Linked DNA regions of Daphnia pulex. The protein of the gene in region 1 binds, or shares a complex with, the protein of each later gene. Links are inferred from orthologs where the notes say so. Each region holds a gene or a part of one and is shown on either strand. Other genes may lie near its edges. The genes, in order: transcription termination factor 2-like and telomere length and silencing protein 1 homolog.

Region 1 (4,274 bases):
TAAAAACAATTGGGAAATTAATAGTATTGAAATATCCTATAAAGCAATTTGGATGTTGCCTACTGACGAAATTTATGGTGGTTGGCCACGATCGGGTGAGATTGACATCGTAGAGTCCCGAGGAAACGCCGATTTTTCGTGCAACGGCTATCCGATAGGGCGACAGTTGGCAGGAAGCACTTTGCATTGGGGTCCTGATCCCAACCAGAACCGTTTTGACCTTACCCACTGGGAAAAGTAAATTTACATATGTGCATGAATTAATTATAGTTACTACTTAGAATAATGTTAAACGTTTTTATTTTTCACAAAGGATCACTCAGAATCCAGATTTTGCCAGCGATTTCCACCTTTACCGTGTCGAATGGCTTCCAACTGGTTTCCAATTCTTCATTGATGATCAAATGATTGGTGAAATGTATCCCCCTGCAGGTGGATTCTGGGAATTGGGAGGATTTCAAGGACAGAACCTCTGGAGCGGTGGAACTGTAATGGCTCCCTTCGATCAAAAAGTATATATTTTTTTTTTATTATTTATTTTAAATATTTCATTTACATCATTGTCGTCGTGTTTGTGCAGTTCCATTTTCTTCTTAATGTCGCTGTCGGAGGTAACTACTTCCCTGACGGCTGTCAAAATGCCGTTTATGACAAGCCGTGGACCGCATCTGATCCTACTCAAATGAAAACTTTCTGGGAAAGCCGCGACAAATGGCTACCCACATGGAATGCTGCCACTGAAGACAACACAATGCAGGTTGATTATATTCGCGTGTATCAGCTTGGTTAAATTGCCACAAACTGATTTTAAAAAAAATTGATTTTATGGAAAGTTTAACTTGACTCTTAAAAGAATAGAATAAAAGAATGCAACATTTTCTTTATCCTTTATTTACTTCACCTCATAATTTGATGTAAAGAGATAGTATTACCACGGTTAGACCGTGGTATTGCAGTGTCAATGCTCAATGGTGCAAGGTTTTCAAATTTCCCACTACGCGTACTAGACTCCTCCCCAACTACTGCGGTTGCACGTACACGATCGAAATAAGAAATTAATATTAAAACAACAATATAAATATGAATGGGAAAACCTATTCGAATTAAAAATTGCTCATAAAGTTCAAAATAGGAATTTGCCTAATCAATGTTTTTCTAACTAAAAAAATAATTCATAAAATTTCGTTGGCTCCTCTTTTTTTTATATTTGGCAACGACGCCTCAGTATTTCTATTCGAAAATTTTAGAAAGAAATCGTGAACAAGTGTGACAAGGAGTTGGTGATGTACTCATGTCCGTTGTTTCTTCTTTCTTTTATCGAACGAAATATTTAATAAAGCACGAGAATAGTCCAGGTCAGACAGAGAGGAAGCTAGGTAATTTGTCATCTTTCTACTGCTGCCTTCGTATTTTATGGTAAACCTTTTGTACATTATGCTAATGCTCTACTGGTTCATGATCACCTAAATTTCAAATCCAGAATCTAGAGGAATTTAAGCTGAATTGACATACAAAATGTCCAAGTTCCCATTGAATGATGAAAGTGACCTGGTTCCATCTACACCAGAAGGTAAAACATTTAGAATTTGAAAAGTAAGGCTTTCTAACATCATTCTGTTTCCTTATTTGAAGATGTGTCTGATAACGAGGCGTATGAAACTCCAGCTGCCCATTCTTTTAATAAATACTCAAAGTCTAATGTGAAAGCATCTGCTGTTTCACGTACAGAGAAGATAGAAGAGTCAGTACAGGGAGAAGATTCAGACTCTTACAGCGTTGAGGGAGAAGAAGAGGAGGAGTCCCAGCATTCATCTAGGCCTGGATCTTCAGATGATGAGGAACCTGAAGATGAGGTAGATAAAAGTCGATCCTCTAACCTGGTTGTCAGTCCTTTTGAAACTAAAAAAGGATCGAAGCAAAAGGCTCATAGATTTATTGAGAGTTCAGAAGACGAGTCTGATGATGAGTCTGATGAAGAAGATGTGTCATATCGTGTGAGAGGAAAACGTCTTGGATCTAGTGAAAAATATTCAACTAGTCAAATTGGAGACCTGGATGAATCTTACCAAGTAATTCAAGCTGGAAGGCGTCAAGCAAAATTGGTGATTCAAAGTTCTGGAGAAAATTCTGCTGAAACTTCTGACATTGAAGGCTTGGCAATTCAGAAGGCCAATGCTTCTGATAGCTCTGACGAATCCGCAGAAGATTCTTTTGGTTCCTCCGTTAAGAAGAAGCCAACCCGAAATCCAATTGATAGTGATTCCGATTCTAGTGGACCACCGGTTAGAGGAAAAGCAATTGACACTGACACTAGTGAAGAGTCCGATTCTAGTGTTGAAGCAACACCGCGAGTCTATCGTGAACAAACTGGAAGGAAAGCTGCATTATCATCCACTGAAGATGAGTCTGAGGATAATATTAGGAAAGAGATGACTCCTCGTATCCGAAAGCAATTCATCGACAGTGACGTATCTACTGAAGAAGAAGTAAGGGTTCCTCGTATAAAAACTCCTCATGTCCGAGATCAAATCATCGACAGTGACGTATCTACCGAAGATGAGGTTGAAGCCATTGCCCCACGGCTCCCTTCGTCCTCTCGTATCCCTACACCACAAGCGATTCAGCGTGCTCTTCGCAATACCAGTCTTGATAGACACGTTTCGGGGAATGATTCAAACATGGATCCCATTAACGCTAATCATGTAAGTTGGCCGTGATTAAAGCTGCCTATGATTAGACCTTTAATATATTTTTTATTTTATTTCAGGAAATGTCGAGGAAATCGGCCGATAAAAGATTTTCGCCTCCTGAGCCTCTTGTAGAGGAAGAAGAAGTACCGATCCAAGATCTATCCAATAGTATTCTTGAGGTATCAAGTACTGTTGTATCTTTTTCGAGCCCTGAAGTTGAAGGAAAAGAACAAGATCAGAGCATAACTGAGTTATCATCACCGGAAATTGCACGAACTCTTCCTGTTCGACTCTCGGCAGCAGAAATAACGCGGATGCGTGAAGATCTTGAGCGCCAAAAACTTCTTTTGGTATCGTCAAATTTAAAATCATTGCCCGATGGAGGAGAAAGGCTCCGAGACAAAATTCGTAAGCTGACTGAACAGCTAGAAACAGCCAACAAACTCGGTGTAAATCCCCCAATGCGCCCCGTTCCAGTTTCATCAGTAGCGTCAAGTGAAGTCCAAGAAGATGAACTTCGAAAACAAATACAAATGAAAAAGGTTATTTTCCAACAATTATTTTCTGAAGATAAGATAAATTTTATTATTGTTTTTTCTAGTGGGCCATGGGTAACGCAAATAGCGACGACAAGGAGCGCCTGCGAACTGAAATCGGTGCCATGGAGGGTCGTCTTATTAAGTTGTCAATTGCCAATGCAACCAACGCCGGCAGCAGCAGTTACGGCTCAAAACATTTGGATTTCCAAAATGACACGCAGAATCGCCAATTAGCTGTAAAACCGAAAAAAACCCAACTTCTTCCTGAAGCTCCCAGACTAACCGAAATGCAGAAGAAGATGTTTGCCGATAATGCGGGAAAGGAACTCTACCAGAAAACGGAAACCGGTTAGTAATAATAGTCATGTTTTTTTTTTTACAGCAACTCAAATTCTCCTCCTTTTAAATAGGTTACATCTCTGCTGCTGCCCGTCGTGAGGCTGTTTCCATCACTATGGATTCGCTTGAAAACCTTCATCGTTCTCTCGCCAGTTGCCCAAAAGAAACCGATGTGGAGAGTACGCCCGCCTGCCTCACAGTTCCTCTCTTGGCGCACCAGGAGCGCGCACTCAAATGGCTTTTATGGCGCGAGACTCAAATTCCTGCTGGTAAGCGACGTGATTACTTGTTCATTCAGTTATTCCCTAAACTTAATTTATTCTTATTTTTCTTTTAGGTGGAATATTGGCGGACGACATGGGTTTAGGCAAGACACTGACCATGATTGCATTGATCGTGAAACAAAAGGAACTAGATCCTCCACCACCTGCGTCCTCCAACATTTGGCTCTCCAAGACCGTCAAGATCAAAAGGTCATCTGGTACTCTCGTTGTTTGCCCCGCCAGTGTAGTGGGTAAGTGTTATCCAATTAACTTAGTTTATTAAACGTAGCTTCACAACAATCAAGTGGCAAGAAACATGGAAAGAGTTAATGAACCAAACGGGGAATGGGAATTTCTTTGTAACATCAGGACAGTGAGTGAAATAAGTAACAAGTTCCTCGTAGAGAATTTTTCTCGCCTGCAATGAAAGAAAAGCGATTATT
Region 2 (3,664 bases), on another chromosome or scaffold:
GCAGGATTGGCGCTATTTAAACTTTCCTCCAATGCAAGAGCACAATTCCAAAGAAGCTCTCATCGCCAATTTAAAGATGCACAGTAAAACTCAAAAGAATTCTAGTGAAGAAACGAATTTGGTTTGTTGCTAGATAAAATCGTTGAAATGTTGTCAAATAAGTTAAAATTCCTTATTTTAGGAAATCGTTGACATGGATACATCCATAGAAGACCTTGAAGAAAAGCGCCAGGCATTGCTTGCTGAGTTGGGAGATGAAGACGATGACTGTGTTATTGAAGAAAATTTTGAAGGGAGTGAAACCACTAACCCAACCAACACAACAACTGGCATCGTTACTGGGGACACATTGAAAGAGAGTGGATCTCCCAACCTAACCAACGAGGTTCAGGAAATGGATATTGCTGCAGTGACGATTCCTACCTCGTCAATATCAGATCTACCTCTAAATATTGAGTCACCAATCAACAATCAAGACTTGTCACCGAAAAAGAGCAAGCTCTTGGCAATGGGAACTCCTGTCTCTATACGATATTCACCTTATAATATCCTACCTTCACGAGACAAGTTTGCGCAAAATGGGAAACTTGGGACCATGGGTGAACTTGAACTATACGAAAATCTTCCAAATAGTACGGGCGCTTTTCAAAAGATGCGATCTTTACTTCAAAAGGCGAAGCAAATGTTTAATAGGAAATAAATGGCACTGAAAAATCGTTTATTTGAAAAATGTATGTATTTTTTTGAAAAATTAAGACTTTCATCATCTTCGGAACTGTCGCCGGAACTTTTCGAAATAAAAGTCGTCGCTTGCCTTATCATGCTCTTTTTTCCCACCGACATTGTCTAACCTTTTAGGTAACTCTACAGGGACGGCTGGTTTGACAGAAGCTTCAGCACGTTTCTTACGTGGGGGGCCAGATTCTTCAATATTAACTAAAAATATGTAAAAATATGATTAGAAATTTTTAATTAAGTATAGATCAATAATAGAAAGGTACATCTGTTATGCTGGACAAAATTAACGGCCATGTTAGTCGGAACAAACATTGAAGGACCATCTTTTTTACGAAGTCTTTCTTGAAGCAGCTTCTGTTTTGCTTCTTCAGTTGCTTCAATATTCTTAATTTTGGCCCTTTAATAAAATAATTATGAAAGTCATTGTAAAAATTTTTAATATAAAAATGTTTTAGACTGGCATACTCTATTCCTAGATCTACTTCCGGAATTCCGCTAAGCATCTGGTTGGATAACATTTCTTCAGATTGGACACTAGATTTCACTCTCAGATATTCAGGTACTGACGAAAAAGCAATTTCTTCAGGAGTCAGGTATTTATTACTTTTATCTTCATCCTCTTGCATTAGACCTTTCCTTTTTGCAAGTTGCTCCTCAATATACTTCATCCTAAAAAGAATAAACATTTTATAACTGAATTGCAAGAGTTGTAAATGAATAATATTTACACACATTTCTGCATCTTCATCTCGAGTGTTGGTTTCCACGGAAAACTGTGTACCAATTCCAGTTTCATATGCATCATCAGCAGATGAACTATTTTGCTTTCCAGCTTTAACTGCCTTCATATCAGCCATTCCACCAGTTGTAACTTTGAAGGGATCATTCTTTACTTAAACAAGTAAACTAGTTAATGCATGATCTTGTATAAATTTCTATATACACTGCCTTACCACTGTAACTTCCTCTTCAACAGTTATTCGCTTGCCAATTGCCAATGCCACAGCACTAATACCGTGGGGTCTCTCTCTTAACTTTTGTAACTCTTTTGTCTCTTCCAGCTTTAACCTAGAAAATTAGGAAATTAAATATGACAATACATTTTAAATTATATTATTTATAAGAATGTGCATACAACACGTCGAGCTCATCACTGCCACCAGCATCATCGTCCTCTTCAATTTCGAGACGTTTTCTCATAGGTTTTCTACTTGGTTTCTTGAATTTAAATGTTAGAGAAGCTTCTCCCGAATTATCACCAATTTCTTCCATATTTTTTTACGATTTGTTTAATTGTTCTGTAACTTAAAAAGGCGTCCCGTTCTTTTAGACAAAAACAAAACAGAAGCAGTACAGTGACATACAACCTTGACAGATTGCCGATATATGGGAAATTCGGAATCGTATTTGAGTAATTCTTCAACTTGACCAGAGTGATAGGTATAAAAATATTTTTATTCTTAAATATTTAAATAGAATTATTCTCAAATTAATGAGTCATTAAATGAAGGAATAAACTGACAAAAACTGGCAACAGTTAGAGCTTACTCCATCTCACGGTGTCATGCAAATGGCGACCATTGTTGTGCATTTCAATTTAGAATATTTACCTAAACATGCTGAGTTTGTTGGAGTGGGATTGGAATAAGAGTCTTCATTAAACTTACTGTCTTTTCGTTTTATTTATTAGAAAATAGCATTATAGAGTTTCCTCAATGTTTTTGTTAGTCAAGCACAGATTTCAGCTTTTGCTTCTTTCTAAGTGTTAAAAAATCATTCCTTCCTGAAGCCTGAAATGAATCTTTTGATAGCACAAATTGAGTAACCAATATAAGTATAATATTATATTATCACCTTATTTATACATTTTTCGACAGAATTTTGCGGAATTTTTCGTAATATTTGTTCTTTTCATTTTGCTTTTTTCCTATTGCTATGTTTAAGGGGGCACTGGAAGGATAACGTTGCTTGAACCTAATCACCTCCTACTCTTTTTGAATTTCTAGAAGAACTCTTCCGCTTGATCCTAAACCAAAGACGTGTACTTCACTGTGATCAGACTCTCTTGCCTTGACTGCAAGATACTCGGTGAATCTCCGCCTGCCGTAAGCATCCTGGCTTCCTGGAAACCTTTTCATCTTCTAAGATGAAGAATTTTCACGATTGCACTATTGTGGAATCCTCGAGTCGTCAAACATTGCATGAAGCTCAGAGTTGTGTATGTCTCTCTTGCTGCAATGTTTCTTGCATATGGATTGGAATACCACTCCTGTAGATGGGATGTCTATAGTTTCATGAGCAGGAGGTGTTGGTGTGCCAACCCATCAGGAAGATCAGAATTATCTTCTTCTCCCTTAAGGAAATGTAAGTTTTTTCGGTTTTGTAATTTGTGCGTTTTGTTGATGTAATTAATTATATAAGAACGTAAATGCGTGGTTATTTAAAGTTTTAGTTGGGATTTAGAGTTATTTTCCGCTGTCTAACTATCCATAAAAAGGTCTATAAGAGCCTGAAAATGAAGACAACGTTAAGGACATTGTAAAATTAAGGTCCTCTTTACATCAGGCGGCTGACCCAGCTGAAAATCGTTTCCGAGACGTTAAACAACTTCAATGAACGCAGTAGATTACGACAAATTATAGACAAATGATTTAAATGTCCTGTAAATAATAATTGTGCCTTGTGTAAAGGTACACAAATTTCTGTCTGCTAATATTAATTATTTGATAGATATTAATTTTAATATACCTCCATGTTACTAATAGCTGGAAGTTTGTCTTTTTTCGAGAACATCGATTTGATCCATTATTGCGTGGTGAGATACTTTCTTTTATGTCACTTAAGTGAGCTCTACAGTTTGGATTATTAGATTTCCTCAGATAATGCTAAGCTTTTTATAATGAAATCAAAGAAATTTACAGAAGTT

What was found.
Region 2: transcription termination factor 2-like (region 1) and telomere length and silencing protein 1 homolog share a complex: the UniProt entries of both Homo sapiens proteins name them as parts of the spliceosome. The link is inferred for Daphnia pulex from reciprocal best matches to the Homo sapiens genes TTF2 and C9orf78.

Annotation. Positions count from the first base shown.
Region 1 is NC_060026.1:13,496,130-13,500,403, reverse strand, and holds the start of transcription termination factor 2-like, read left to right. Parts: upstream 1-1,232; 5' UTR 1,233-1,416; intron 1,417-1,480; 5' UTR 1,481-1,515; coding exon 1,516-1,570; intron 1,571-1,632; coding exon 1,633-2,702; intron 2,703-2,767; coding exon 2,768-3,232; intron 3,233-3,291; coding exon 3,292-3,577; intron 3,578-3,639; coding exon 3,640-3,837; intron 3,838-3,905; coding exon 3,906-4,082; intron 4,083-4,092; exon of another isoform or gene 4,093-4,249; intron 4,250-4,274. Other genes in the region: beta-1,3-glucan-binding protein-like, read left to right, coding at 45-237, 314-512, 581-790. UniProt on the Homo sapiens protein: DsDNA-dependent ATPase which acts as a transcription termination factor by coupling ATP hydrolysis with removal of RNA polymerase II from the DNA template. May contribute to mitotic transcription repression. May also be involved in pre-mRNA splicing.
Region 2 is NC_060023.1:10,024,157-10,027,820, forward strand, and holds telomere length and silencing protein 1 homolog, read right to left. Parts: upstream 2,107-3,664; 5' UTR 2,011-2,106; coding exon 1,874-2,010; intron 1,807-1,873; coding exon 1,692-1,806; intron 1,626-1,691; coding exon 1,471-1,625; intron 1,408-1,470; coding exon 1,204-1,407; intron 1,136-1,203; coding exon 1,002-1,135; intron 937-1,001; coding exon 764-936; 3' UTR 723-763; downstream 1-722. Other genes in the region: zinc finger CCHC domain-containing protein 8 homolog, read left to right, coding at 5-121, 182-700. UniProt on the Homo sapiens protein: Plays a role in pre-mRNA splicing by promoting usage of the upstream 3'-splice site at alternative NAGNAG splice sites; these are sites featuring alternative acceptor motifs separated by only a few nucleotides. May also modulate exon inclusion events.